2 linked regions of the Lonchura striata genome follow. The protein of the gene in region 2 interacts with the protein of the main gene of each other region in a pairwise test. Links are inferred from orthologs where the notes say so. Each region holds a gene or a part of one and is shown on either strand. Other genes may lie near its edges.

Region 1 (6,387 bases), on a different chromosome or scaffold from region 2:
TTCATCATTTTAGATCCCATGTTAACGCATCACCAACTCTCACATTCAAAGCCTTTTTAGAGAAATTTAATAGTTGGGGCACTAATAACCACCCACAACCCTTAATTCTGAGTGATTATTCCAAGCACAAATTAACAGATCTGGGCCATTACTACCCCAACTGAATCATTCAGAGGGGTGGGAGGGAAGAAAAAAAGCAATACTCTATGGGAATGCCTCAGGATTAACAGCTTTTGTACATTTCCAAGCACTTTTGTCAATAGCACCCCTTGTGTAATAAATTCCTTTTCTCGTTCCTTTCACACTGTTTACAGGCAGATGACTTAGAAGATTGCAATATACGCTCAAATAAGATTTTCCAAGTTACAAGAATTATTCACTTCAGGTAATTTTATTCTTTATAGTCTCTACATATTTGAATTTTTACTTGATAAATTCATAACAAGGTATAAGTATTAGAAAAACCAACAAAAACAACATAAATCAAAGCCAACAGTTGGTCCCCAAAGAATAAAGCAAGCAATCAGTTCAATAAACACACTTGATTTATTTTGTATAAAAAGGGTTAAGTTTACAACTAAACTTTTATAAAAAGTTTAGCATGATTAAGTACATCATTACACTTTTTGCAGAAATGTGTATTTCTGCCACTATACAAGAAAACTCTAATTAAAGAGTTCACAAGGTTTCACTCATATATATATATATTTATATATAAATATATACACAGCATTCAGTCCTAGGTTTGTGTCAAAAAGGTAATTTCTGACCACAGACTTTCCTAAAAAACTGAACACTGGATCCTTCCGGTACTCACGCTCCACCTTTGGAAAAAAAGGCAAAGTCTGCTTTAAAATGGGCAACTCCTTGTGAATTTTTGTTTCGCTCCCCACGTTGGGAATAGTATATAAAGGAAGCCTTCCAACTAGGGAAAGGGTATTTAAGAGTCTCTTCATAAATAACTAGGTTCAGTCCAAGTTGAAAAATGGGGTGGGGTTAAAGATCAATCTTGATTTTTTTCTTCTTTATTCATTTTAAAAGTTCCTTTTACTTGAACGTGGATTTTCCCCTCCAGGTACAGCTGAAAAATACAGCACCTCAAAAAAGAAAAAAAAATCCTGTAGACATTTTCTTGTGCAAAAGAAAAAAAAAAATCTCATCAGTGGAACACCTGCAAGAGATTGAAAAGAGGCGTATTTAGGAGAATGCTAACAGGGCAGAGATCCGGACAGACTGGCGCCAGAGAGGAAGCCACAGTTTGAACATTTAACCAAACACTCAGAGATTGGGCAAACCCTGGCGTCCAGATGCAACACATACAAGCTCACACACTCGCTCTCAAGAGCACAAATTGAACATAAAAATAACATACACTCCAGGGAAAGGCTAGAAAGAGGATTCTCAGTCCAATCTTTATTTAGATCTCTGTAAACGCAATGCTCAGAGGCGCCAGTCTGCCTCTTGGAGCAATTATTTGATTAAAAGCAGTCACTTATTTAACTGATAGCGCAGACAATCCCACATCACAGAATTCAAGGAATTGTGCCAAGATTCCCAACTTAATCAGTCACTTTGGCCCAGGAAGTTAAGGCTCCAAGAACAGATAAGAATTTGCATTAAGCAGCGAGCAGGATCAGAAGAGCCTGTGCTGCAGGGTGAACCTTAGCGACACACACACGCTTAGGACCTCAAGACTCAGTTATTAGTCTCATTTCTTACCGATTACAAAGGCATTTCCCAATCAACTTTTAGGACTTATTTTTAGCATTTGCTATCACGCCTCCCATTCCCCGGGGAGGCAGTTTTTTACCCGAAGTTCGGGAAAAAGGCGCACCGCACTCACCGTTTGATTCAGCCACAAAGTGCTTTGCTGTCAGTTGACATGAGCTCTGAGGGGAACTCGGACGCCTGCGAGAGAACAAGAGCAGGGTAAGGGCGAGGTGGCCGAGCACTCCGGGGAGGCCGGAGCGGGTTGTCCCGGCCCCCGCGGCGCTGCCCCGCGGAGAGCGAGCGCACCGCGGCGCCGCCGCCGCAGCTCGGCGGCGAGCGGGGGACGCTCGTACCTGTAGCGAGAGGATGCTGATGTCTGTGTTGAGGGTGGTCAGAGGAGTTCTGGAGGAAGGGTTCTGCCCGGGTCTCTGGTGGTGCAGGCTGACGATGCTGGGGTGCGAGTCCAAGGCGATCTGCAGGTCCAGGATGTAGTCGATGACGTGCTGCAAGATTTCCATCTTGCTCACTTTCTTGTTCTGCGGGATGCTGGGCACCAGCTCCTTCAGCTTGGAGTAGCAATCGTTCATATTGTACAGCAGGCTCATAGGGTCATCCACGGGGGTCTTGCTCCGGGAGATGCCCAGGTTGTGCTCTGAGAGGCCGGTTTTCCTGACGGACCGCACCGGGCTGAAGGCTTTCATGCTGGCAGGCGGGCGGGCGGCGGAGAGCGCGGTTCTGGCGTGCGGGCTGGAGCCTGCGGAGCGCTGCGCTGCCGCTCTGGCGCTGCCGGAGCTCGCACTGAGGGCTGGCTCTGCGCGGCCGCTCTTATACGGCGGCCGCCGCCGGGCCCGGCCCGCGCTCGCTGCCATTGGCTGCCGCCGGCACGTCCATCACCGCGGGGCGCCCTCACTGGTGGGGCCTTCCGCCCGGTCAGCCAATGGCAGCGGGAGGCGTGGCCGCGCGCACAGCTGAGGGAGTAAATAGTGCGCGGGGCTGTGCGGGCCCGCGCGGGGCTCGGGGTGGCAGCGCCGCGGTCCCGCCCGGCCCCCTGACACCCTCCGTGCCCCCTGACACCTCTCCATGCTCCCTGACACCTCTCCGTGCCCCCTGACACCCTCCGTGCCCGCTGACACTTCTCTGTGCCCGCTGACACTTCTCTGTGCCCCCTGACACCCTCCGTGCCCGCTGACACCTCTCTGTGCCCGCTGACACCCTCCGTGCCCCCTGACACCTCTCTGTGCCCCCTGACACCCTCCGTGCCCCCTGACACCTCTCTGTGCCCCCTGACACCTCTCCGTGCCCGCTGACACCCTCCGTGCCCCCTGACACCTCTCTGTGCTCCCAGACACCTCTCCGTGCCCCCTGACACCCTCCGTGCCCCCAGACACCCTCCGTGCCCGCTGACACCTCTCTGTGCTCCCTGACACCTCTCTGTGCCCCCTGACACCTCTCCGTGCCCCCTGACACCTCTCCGTGCCCCCTGACACCTCTCTGTGCCCCCTGACACCCTCCGTGCCCCCTGACACCTCTCCGTGCCCCCTGACACCTCTCTGTGCCCCCTGACACCCTCCGTGCCCCCTGACACCTCTCCGTGCCCCCTGACACCTCTCCGTGCCCCCTGACACCTCTCTGTGCCCGCTGACACCCTCCATGCCCGCTGACACCTCTCTGTGCCCCCTGACACCCTCCGTGCCCGCTCCCCCTCCGCCGCGCCCCGATCTCTGCACGGGCTCGCACCGGTGTGCGGGGCTGGCGGCGCCGCGCCCGGAGCGCGGTGCGGGATGCGCAGGTCCCGCTGCAGCGAGGGGTGCCGAGGTCACCGTGAGCTGGAGCATCCCGGCGGTGTTTGCACGACCCCGCTTAGCGCACGGCAGCGAAAGTCAATGGCCGGTTTGCAGCCAGCGCTGTAGGCAGGAATGAAATAAACCAAGATTAAAGATCAAATAAGCCTTTAAATCCCACTGCAACTTTCTGTCCTGATGAAAACGGGACACTGAGCACCCCAACAGCCAGGCAGGCGTCACTCTAGCGCCCTGCTTCCTGAGAACAGGGCTACTTCAGATGATGCTATTAATTGGAGATCATTAAGCAAATCTGCATATTGGAAGTGCATTTACATGTATTACCCTTGAAAAGCTGCTCATCTGCGCCCTATCAGTGCTCGTGACACAGTACTGTCATTAATTATGCATAGATTGTTTCTGGTGACAAATGCAAATGCTTACTACACGCTGTACTTTTAGCAGCTTTTGGTTGCAGCCAATGAAACATCTTCCAGAAACATTCCAGAGGAAAAAGTTTTCGGGGTTTTTCTGGTTTGTTTTTTCTTTTTTTGCTAGAGAAGTGACTTTGATTTTTTTTTTTAAGTTTAGTTCCATTTTATTTTCCTATATTTTGCTTATGCTACGGGCTGTAAAACAAAGACACAGCTTCCACCTTCCATTCCACACACTACCTAAGGAAAGTTCAACTTACAAAAACGTGAATGTATATACACAACTAATATAAATGAAATTCTGCCCAAATCGCAGCAATTTTCTAATAGTAAAACCACACAGATGCCTAAAGCGCGTTAGTGTTCAGTGCAAGCAAAACCGTAGTGAACGCATACATCCATAAAATCAGTGAGGATTGTGCTGCCAATCATAAATATTAAAAGCAGACAAATACTGGATTTATCTGCACTGTTGTTGCATAGCTACACGAAGGGGGTCGGGGCTGTAAGAGAGGAACATTGCGGACACTTGGAGACAAAGCTGCGAAGAGCCACATCAGTTATTTTTCCAATTAACGTGGCATTCCTGAGCTGGTGGTTGGTTATTCTTTTAACCGGGCACTTCGGCGACTGTCACACCGGGGTGTTTGCCCCGGGGCTGTTCTCCGGGGTGGACTGGAGGCGGTGCCGAGGCTGATAGGAACACAATTCAACGCGTTTTGAAACACGAAGGGTGAAAGTGAATCTCGACATTCAATCTGACAGGAAGACAAGTACACTGTTCATGTGCAGTTACAGAGAGTAAATAATAATAAAAACCATCCTGCCAATTAAGGACCCACTCAAAATCACGACTTAGGGCGACTTCAACCCTTACATCTCTAAGATACCAATTGGTGGTGGAACTTGACCAGCGGCCACTGGTTTTGGTCCTGCAACATACTTGCGTTTCTGTCTAATGAAGGCACCAGTGGAAGAAATGTGGAGTGGTTTGGTTTTAATAATAGCCAACGTAAATATGTTCATGCTTCTCCCATCACTGTTTGTCGTTCTTGGACAGCGCAGCAGCACCGGCCGGCCGGGCGCTGCAGAGGATCCTGTGTTACTGCTCTCGGTTTTCCACACCAAAGACTTAACACGCTTTTTGGAACACCGGGAAGTTGTGTGGAGAGTCTAACCTGGCTATTTTTTCTGTCAGCAAATGACTGTCATATGCGCTTTCTGCACGCAAAATAGAGCCCGGGAGCAGCCAGGCTCCGCTTTCCCCAGGAGAGCGGCTGAAGAGTCTTTCCCTAACGTTGCATTCCCTCAGTTCCGCTGTTTTACTATAGAAAGCTTTGGCAGCGGCTCGCTAGCTTTGGGAGCTCCTGCGCTCGGGCCCCACGAGCGGTCCCGCTGCCCGGCGAGCCGGGGGGACTGCGGGGCGGGGGGGAGCCGAACCCACCGGGGAGGGGACTGCGAGCTGCTCCGCGGGGGCTTTTCCAGGCCCCGTCCCAGGCAACTCCGAGTGCCCCGGGAGCCGAGCGTCCACCTCTTTAGTTTTCAGCCGGGACTTTTACAGCCACTTCCCAGCCCCGAGACGCCGCCGCCGCAAACATCTGGGAGGAACCGCGTCCACTCGAAGCCACGCGCAAAGCGCCGCTTTCGCCTCCGCGCCCCCGGGATCACGAACGCGGGGCTGCGCTCGGTCCCCCCGCCCGGCGCCAGCCCGCGGCGGCGCTGGGTGCGCGGAGCGGCGGCGGGAGCGCGGCCGCCCCGGGGGCGCCGTTCCCCCCGCGCCCCCGTGCCCCGCCCCGCGCCCGGGGCCGGCCCGGACTGCGCGGCGCCAGCCCCGTGACATCAGCCCCTCGCCGCCGCCCCCCCCGCCCGCGCCGCCCGGGCCCGGCGGCGCCGCTCAGGCGGCTGCCATGGCGACCGGGGCTGCGCCCGCGGCGGCGGCCCGGCCTCGCTTCCCCCTCCCGGGCGCACCTGCAGCGGGGGCCGCCGCCGGACGCCTCGCCATGCCGCGGGGGGAGGACGAGGGAATGTGGGAAGGCGGGGTGGGGGGGGGGGGGGGATAAGAGAGAGGGAAGGGTAAACCGGGCAAAATCGCGGATGGACGCGGGGGGAAAGGTGCCGCCGCCGCTCGCCCCCAGCCCGGCTGCCCTGCGGGGCCAGGTTGCCGCGACCCAGGCGGGAAGGAGCGGGCCGCGCTTCCGAGGCTCCGGTGTGGGGTAGAGAGTGGGGGGTTCGGTCCTGCGGCACCCCTTCCCCTCCCTCCCCCTCCATGCCAAAAGAGTGTATTTTCATGGTTGTTTTGAAGGCTGCCTATTCTGTCGCCTCTGAAGGTGTTCTCAGCCCAGCTCCAGGGCCGCACAGTCACCCCGGCCAGGCTCCCTCCGGTGTGTGTGCGGGCGAGGGGCTCCGGGCAGAACTGCGGGGCTGCGCTGCCGCCCCCCTTGGGGACCGGCGCGTTCCTCCGC
Region 2 (7,683 bases):
AGAAATTAGGAGTTCTCATTAGATGAGAACTTTAGAGGTTCTAGGGCATATTTTGCATGTGTCACCAAAGACAGTAGCTTTGTCCAGACTTAACACAGGATGATTGCTTTAATTATGATACAGAGCCCTGTCTCAGCTAGCTCACTAAAGGTATTACTGTGGCACTCCTGCTACTTCTTATATTCCCTATTTGGTTCGAAGTAGGGGCATGAGATCCTAGTGAAAAAACAGCACACTTAAATAGAAGTGCATCAAAGAGAATGGTTACTCATTAGTTTTGCCTTTCAATTAGGGCAGTGTCAGTGAGCTTGGTTCAAGTGCAGAGGTGTCCAAATTCCTCTCATTAGTCCCCTACCAGAGTACCTCATTCTGTAGCCTGGCTCCCAAGGTCACCTAAGAAGAGCAACTGGCCAGATCAGCTGCCTGCAGTTAGGGATTTTTTGTCATTATATACATCTTTTCTGTAGTTGGCATTTGATTAATTGGAAGATTGCCTCACACTTTTGTGTACTACTTTAGCTGATACTCCTGTTTTGCTTAAAAATAAATTCAGTTCTATGTCTGCATCTCCAGTGTATTCCTCAATTCACCACCCAGGCATGCTCATGTTCTTCTCCAAGAGATTTTGTATGTGTACAAAACTGTGCCAGTATTTTTTTGCATCTGAGGAAGTTGTGCATGATGGAAGAGTATGACGGAGTGAAAATAAATGCCAGAAAACTGCATTACTCTAAAAGCACTGCATAATGAAACATTTTTAGTAAACTCTGATAGAGCTACAGTAGCAATTAAGTAGCAATTTCTGCAAAGCCCACCTTCTGTTGGTGTTGTAACATGGGATAGAAATCAATGTAATCAATGCAGATGTTTTCCCAATCTTTTCTGTGAATGTGGTCCAGCTTTGGGGTGGGGATGGCGAACACAACTACATTAAAACAACCTCTGTGTTAATTAATAAAAATACTGCCAAGTGCCACAAGAATGGCTCAAAGCACTTTTAAAATCATGCTAGATTTGCCTTTGTTGAGATTGCTGATCTCTAATACAGCAGGAGTCTAAAAGATATTTCCATCTGGGCTAGATTCCGTCACCCATCCTCATGCTGAGCATACCTTATTCAACAATTAGTTCCACTGACTGCAACTCAACATGAATAAGAGCAATGGAATCCATCCCTCTCAGTGTTAAAATACAGCTCACTAAGTGTGAACAGAGCAAAGCTACTAACTGAATTCTAAACTAGTGCTGCATAAAACTACTTCATGTACTACTAGTAATGTTTGACCTACTTGTACAACAACCTTCACCTTTTAAAAGCTGATGACCCGAAACGTAGTTACAGCTTCCTCCATGGTTTACAGCATTTAACAAAGTCCAACATAACAAATAATACATCTTCTAAATTTTTCAGAGCTAGACTTACTTGACTCTTATTTTCCCATGAAGTAGTGCCATGTCTGTTTCTCAGACTTCTCATGTTCATCTTCTAACCAAATGTAACCACATACTCTGAGGATTTAAGTCTTTTTCTCTCCCTTTTCCTTTGCCAGAACATGTTCTGGGCCTTTGCCTCTAAAGACAATTCTGTTAATTCCAGATAAACTCAAAATCAGCTGTTTCCCCAGCCCCTATCCTCCAAAAAAGAAAAGATAAATCAAGCAATTACTGCAGATAATAAGCTCTCCTTGTCCACATGCTGCTTCTGCTGAGGGGGCATACATGCTTGTGAATATGGTCTCAGATTTAACAATACCTGTCAGTTGTGTACAGGATGAATCTATCCATGTTTTTCAATGTAGGAAGTACAATCTGCTTCTGCCTTCCCAGCTTCCTTTTCAATCACATCCTGAAAAATAATATACCAAGGATGAATGTAGAATAGGTTAAGGGAAACAGCTCTTATAGAAACTTTACAAATTCTCTGCTGAATGCTTGTTGAGCCACACTCTCTGTATCTGTACTACCAAAGCAGTGCCCAAACATTCCACACAACCTGGGAAAGCTCTGAATAGCTAGTGCAGCACCAGTACCCTAAACATAGCATCCAAACTGGAAGATCAGGAGAGACCTAATCTTTACAGAAATTATGATTACAGCCCCAGAGGCTTTCAAAGAGGTTTAACAATGGAATCCTTGTAAATGCTTGCCATAAACACTACCTATGGTTGCCTGCTCTCAGAGTGAGGAATGCCCTTGAAAATCTCCAAGTGGAGATTGTTCTGTCCTTCATCCTCTCCACTGTGGCCACACAAAACTGGGAAGAGCATCTCAGGGTTTGTTCTTTGCAAGAACGTTTTTTTTAGGACTCACTGTACATGGCAACATCTTTCTGGACAAACATGTCTTTGGGAATTGCACTGGAAAGTAGATGTTAGTGGTGGCACCAGTAGGGAATCACAGAATCATAATTGTTAGGATTGGATGGCATGTCTGGAGACCAGCATGTCCAAACCCAAAGGAAGGTGTCCTCAAGGGCACTTTCACTGAAAGACTACTGTGTGGAATTCACTTGGTGGTCACAGCCTTCTCCTGACCTTTTCACTTGAAGGAATTCATGCACTTGAGCCCACACTCATGGGCAATTGTTGGCAAGTTCTCTGTAGTTGCCAACAACTGCCAAAGAGTGGGGCTTTGTCCAAGCCCCACTGTTTGTTACCACTTTGCCCAAGGTAATCCCTACTCACTCAAGTCCCAGAGTGTCTTTTCCTGGGGTCACATATAAGCTACAAACACACTAAGGCAGAATAGGCTATAATAATGACTAAAGATTAGGTAAAATTACATTTTTCCAAAAATTAAGCCAATGGTCTAGAGAGAGTTTAAGTGTCTTGAGTGGGTCACACTGCCAGCACAAAGCCTTCATATCCCATTTTACATGTTCAGTTGTTACAGCATAAATCTCTTTCTCATTTAAATGTATTTTACATTATTGTATACCTTGCACTATTTTCAATACAAATTATTTTTACTTTGTTAGCTGTTCAATAAAGATTTAAAACCAACTATCTTTATTGCTTCTGGATCAAAGAACATCTGTAATAACATTGAAATGTCTCCACAAAATTGTCACTCTGCCTTTCAGAAACAGCTGGGAGATACATTTCTAAATGTGTAGGGGTGGCCAGTAGCTGATCTCCCTCCTTGGGACATATTGCTTTTCAGCATTGGGTACTTTGAAAGAATGAATTTCTACGTATAGCTTTATCTTTAAATAAAACTTTTATCTTTTAGAGATACTGAGAGAATGCCATTTACAGTTCTAATCTTGGTCTGTACTCAAAGATATTTAGGCAAGTAGAAAATGGGGAGTGCAATTTAGGAATTTTTGCCAAAAAACAAATCGTGTAACAACAAAAGAAGCCACCATCATGACAGTCCATCTGAGAAGTCATAGGCACAGGGACTGGGAATTGATCATTGATGGATGTTTTTTACCTTTTGCGATTTTGTCAGTCAGCCCCTTATCCCACTGGAAACAGAGCTTTGCTGCTGATTTTGAATGAGCTGAAATTTTGCCAACATTTATAACTGCAGAACAGAAATTATTTTTAGCTTTTGGGACATTAAATATATGCAATTCTATTTTAATCATTAAGTCAGTGAAATCACATAATTGAATTACTTAATTCCTCTGAGGAGAACCTAATTTCTCATCTCAAATGATACTCAAAAAAACAGAGTAAAAACTCTGTCACCCTTGACAGACGATACTAAAATGGGATGCCATTTCCCCAAGCTCCAAACTCTCCCGCTGCTAGAATATAATCCTTCAGCCGTCCAACTGCAGCGCAACCGCAGCAAAACGCCACGGCGCGACCTGAGATCCATCCCTCCCAAGGCTTCCGAGTGAAGGCGAACAGAGCTGGAAGAGGAACCCGGAATGCCAGCGTTCGCAGGGGTTCCCGAGGCAAGGAAGGCAGGCGCACCGCGGCCACGGCGGCGCTTCCCGCTGGGACAGGCCCGCAGCGCCACCGGGCGGCCGCCACCTGCCCATCCCGCCTGTCCGCCGTGTCCCCGCGTCCCCTCTGCCCGCACCTCCCGCCTGTCCGCCGTGTCCCCGCGTCCCCTCTGCCCGCACCTCCCGCCTGTCCGCCGTGTCCCCGCGTCCCCTCTGCCCGCACCTCCCGCCTGTCCGCCGTGTCCCCGCGTCCCTCCTGCCCCGCACCTCCCGCCTCTCCGCCGTGTCCCCGCGGTGTCCCCGCTTCCCCGCCGGCCCGCACGGCCCCTGCTGCCCGCGGTGTCCCCTGGAGCCGCCCACCCCCACGAACGCCCCCGCAGTAATTACCCTTGTGTCCGTGGAGCCGCGGACAGACCTGCCCAGGGGCTGGGGGCTTTTTCCCTGTGAGGAACCAGCGGAGCCGCCACCGGTGTGTTCGGTGCGTCCCCCCGGGCGAGCGGCACCCGGCACCTTCGGGCATCGGGGCGGCTGCTCTCCCCGGCGCGGCGGCAGGGCGGGCTGCTGAGGCAGGAAAAAACAAAACCCGGGGGAAATGTAGCCCTGCGCGCATCCGAGCGCCCGGGCTGCCGCTGCCCCTGCGGGACACCGCGCCCCCCCGCCGCCCCGGCCCCCGACCCGCCCGGCCGCGCCCCCCGACCCGCCCCGCCCCGTCCCGACCCGCCGCGCCGGGGGGCTCGGCCATAAATACGGCCCCGAGTGGCGCTCCCGGACCGGCGCGGCTGCGGAGGGGTCGGGGCAGCAGCCAGCGCTGGTGGCCTCGCCTGGCAGAGGCTGCGAGAGTCTCGGCTCGGCAGAGCAGCCCGGTGGAAGGCCCCTCCGTCCGAGCCCCTCGCTGTCCCCTCTGGCCGGGCCGCTGTCCCCTCTGCCGCCCCCATGGACTTACTTGGCCCCATGGAGATGACGGAGGGCTCCCTCTGCTCCTTCACAGCCGCCGATGACTTCTACGATGACCCGTGCTTCAACACGTCGGACATGCACTTCTTCGAGGACCTGGATCCGCGGCTGGTGCACGTCGGGGGTCTGCTGAAGCCCGAGGAGCACCCGCACCACCACGGGCACCACCACGGGCACGAGGAGGAGCACGTCCGGGCGCCCAGCGGGCACCACCAGGCTGGCCGCTGCCTGCTGTGGGCCTGCAAGGCGTGCAAGAGGAAGACCACCAACGCCGACCGCCGTAAGGCCGCCACCATGAGGGAGCGCCGGCGGCTCAGCAAGGTCAACGAGGCCTTCGAGACCCTCAAGCGCTGCACCTCCACCAACCCCAACCAGCGCCTGCCCAAGGTGGAGATCCTGCGCAACGCCATCCGCTACATCGAGAGCCTGCAGGCCCTGCTGCGGGAGCAGGAGGACGCTTATTACCCCGTGCTGGAGCACTACAGCGGGGAGTCGGACGCCTCCAGCCCCCGCTCCAACTGCTCCGATGGCATGGTGAGTGCCCCAGGGAGGACTCCCTGCCACCAAGGTGCCCTGGACGCTGTTGGTCCAAACCTGAGCAGGGCAAGTCACCTGCCCTTCCTATAGCAGCTGCCTTCTGTACCTCCCCAGGCAGAAGACAAAGTCCTTTCTCGTGCCTTGAGCACTCGCGGCGAAGGGAGGTGGGGTCCCCACATGACAGGAGTTTTGGGAAAGAAGAATCTCATACACATTTTGTTCCCTGGGATAAGAAGTTAGGCAGGTTCCCCATGTCCTGGAGGAGCCAGGGAAAAGCTGCTGGGGGAGAACTTTGGGAAGCTGCCTGGAATGGGCACCCTGGGGGCATTGCCTGTGATCCCGTAGATCCTGAGGCATCTCTGTTTCCATCTTCTGCTGTATCATTACCTTTGAATCCTCTAAGGACAGCAGAGAGCAAGGGCCCTCTAGGACATGGTAGTTACACAGGAACTGGTAAGAGTCTGGGTTTTGTTTTCTTCCATTCATCATTACAACAGGAGGAGTGTCTAAGCAACAAGAGTTATTTTTCTGGACCCTTAAGAAAAAGATTCTCCATTTCTCTTCTCTCGCACTTCATCCCCTCCATAGATCTTTACAAGCAATAGGAAGGAGAATCCAGGCTTTTTGTCTTGATTGTACATTATGGGCATGGGAGAAGAAGGGTGGGTGCCAGAGAGGGTGTCTCACCCCCACATCTTTTGGCTGGGGCTGTAGGTTCAGCCTCTGGTGTGACTCTGGGCTGGTAGGATGCGGTGACCAGAGTCCAGGACAGCTCTCTGGATAGGCCATGAACTGCCCTTTCAGACCAGAGATTGCTTTTTGTGCTCTGGTGGGGATAGTCACTACTGAGTTGTGTATCTGTGATTATGAAAGACTTAACACATTGGAGAGATTTACACAAATTATTCCTCTTCAAGATACAACCTCTTTTAATAGAGGAATTTCATTGTGGATTAAAGTATTGGAAAAAAAATGCATTAGTCAATTTCATAGAGCACTTTCTATATGAAATGGAAATGGGAAGAGAAACTGAAGGAAATACAAAGGAACAGGGTAGACTGAGGCTTTTAAAGAGGAATTAATGTTTAGAAAAATCTTTAAAAACTAAATTAAAAAGACAATTCACATTTCACACAGGTTTCAGGACACTCAAATCTCTCTGTTGTAAACGAAAGATACATGAAGGGCTGTATCTGATCAGAATTCTGGAAAGCCTCATCTCATTTGTAAAGCTGCAGCATTCGATGCAAGGGTGATAACTTTCCTGTGGAACAGCTGTGCCACATAAAATATCCTGGGGTGGACCCCCTTCTAGCCATGTTTTTCCTTACTCAGAGAATCTACAACTTGATGGCATTCCAGACAGGACTGGAACGATGGCCAGAGCCTGAAATATGAAATTAGATGGTTCCTGGGATTTGGGTAAAAGTCTGATCTCACTTGGATTTCTCTCCTTCCCAGATGGAGTACAGCGGGCCTCCCTGCAGCTCTCGCAGAAGGAACAGCTATGACAGCAGCTACTACACAGAGTCCCCAAATGGTGAGTACATGCCCTAAGGGCGGTGTGAAACACCGAGACAGAGGCAGGCAGTGCAGCAGCTTTCCTGTGCCTGCTCCCTGTCCAGCTGGGCTGAGAGAGAAACCTGCCTTTCCAGCCAGCAAGCCATTGTTGCTGGTAGAGGCACTGCATTTCTTCTAGGTGTATTTGCAAATATGGGGATGTGTTATATCTGTATTTCCCATTTTGCAAATCTAACAGTTGGATAGAAGTATGTTATTCTCTGCAACTAATTTCAGCATTATCTATATTCTACATGAAGACTTCGTACTCTATCATTGATCCAAATTGGAGTAATTTATGACTGATTTCAAATCTGCTCTTCCCTTTCTATGGACTCAGTGAAGCCTTAGATCCTCCCTTTCCCCAGAGCAGCACACTGTGGTTGGACCTCTCTTCCATTTCGAAATTACAATCTGTTTTCTGATAATTGGTGTCCTTCACCAATACTCATTTCCTCTGAGTCTTCACATGCCCACAAATGTGTAGTGCCCACTGATGTTAATTACCCACTGGATAATCTGAGCACTTTTTTGTCTGTTTTTCAGATCCAAAGCATGGGAAGAGTTCTGTTGTTTCCAGTCTCGATTGCCTCTCAAGCATTGTAGAGAGGATTTCCACAGATAATTCCACATGCCCTATACTGCCTGCGGTGGAAACTGTTGCTGAAGGGAGTCCCTGTTCCCCTCCAGAAGGAGTGAGCCTGAGTGATGGTGGAGCCCAAATTCCTTCCCCC

Evidence for each region. The genes of interacting proteins can lie anywhere in the genome.
Region 1: the proteins of MYOD1 (region 2) and ID2 interact in a two-hybrid assay, tested with the Homo sapiens proteins (2 studies listed by BioGRID). The link is inferred for Lonchura striata from reciprocal best matches to the Homo sapiens genes MYOD1 and ID2.

The regions. Positions count from the first base shown.
Region 1 is NC_134605.1:98,358,630-98,365,016, reverse strand, and holds ID2 (DNA-binding protein inhibitor ID-2), read right to left. Parts: upstream 2,505-6,387; 5' UTR 2,412-2,504; coding exon 2,064-2,411; intron 1,909-2,063; coding exon 1,852-1,908; 3' UTR 1,844-1,851; intron 1,172-1,843; 3' UTR 524-1,171; downstream 1-523. UniProt on the Homo sapiens protein: Transcriptional regulator (lacking a basic DNA binding domain) which negatively regulates the basic helix-loop-helix (bHLH) transcription factors by forming heterodimers and inhibiting their DNA binding and transcriptional activity.
Region 2 is NC_134608.1:48,599,499-48,607,181, reverse strand, and holds the start of MYOD1 (myoblast determination protein 1), read left to right. Parts: upstream 1-4,680; 5' UTR 4,681-4,831; coding exon 4,832-5,386; intron 5,387-6,850; coding exon 6,851-6,929; intron 6,930-7,495; coding exon 7,496-7,683. UniProt on the Homo sapiens protein: Acts as a transcriptional activator that promotes transcription of muscle-specific target genes and plays a role in muscle differentiation. Together with MYF5 and MYOG, co-occupies muscle-specific gene promoter core region during myogenesis.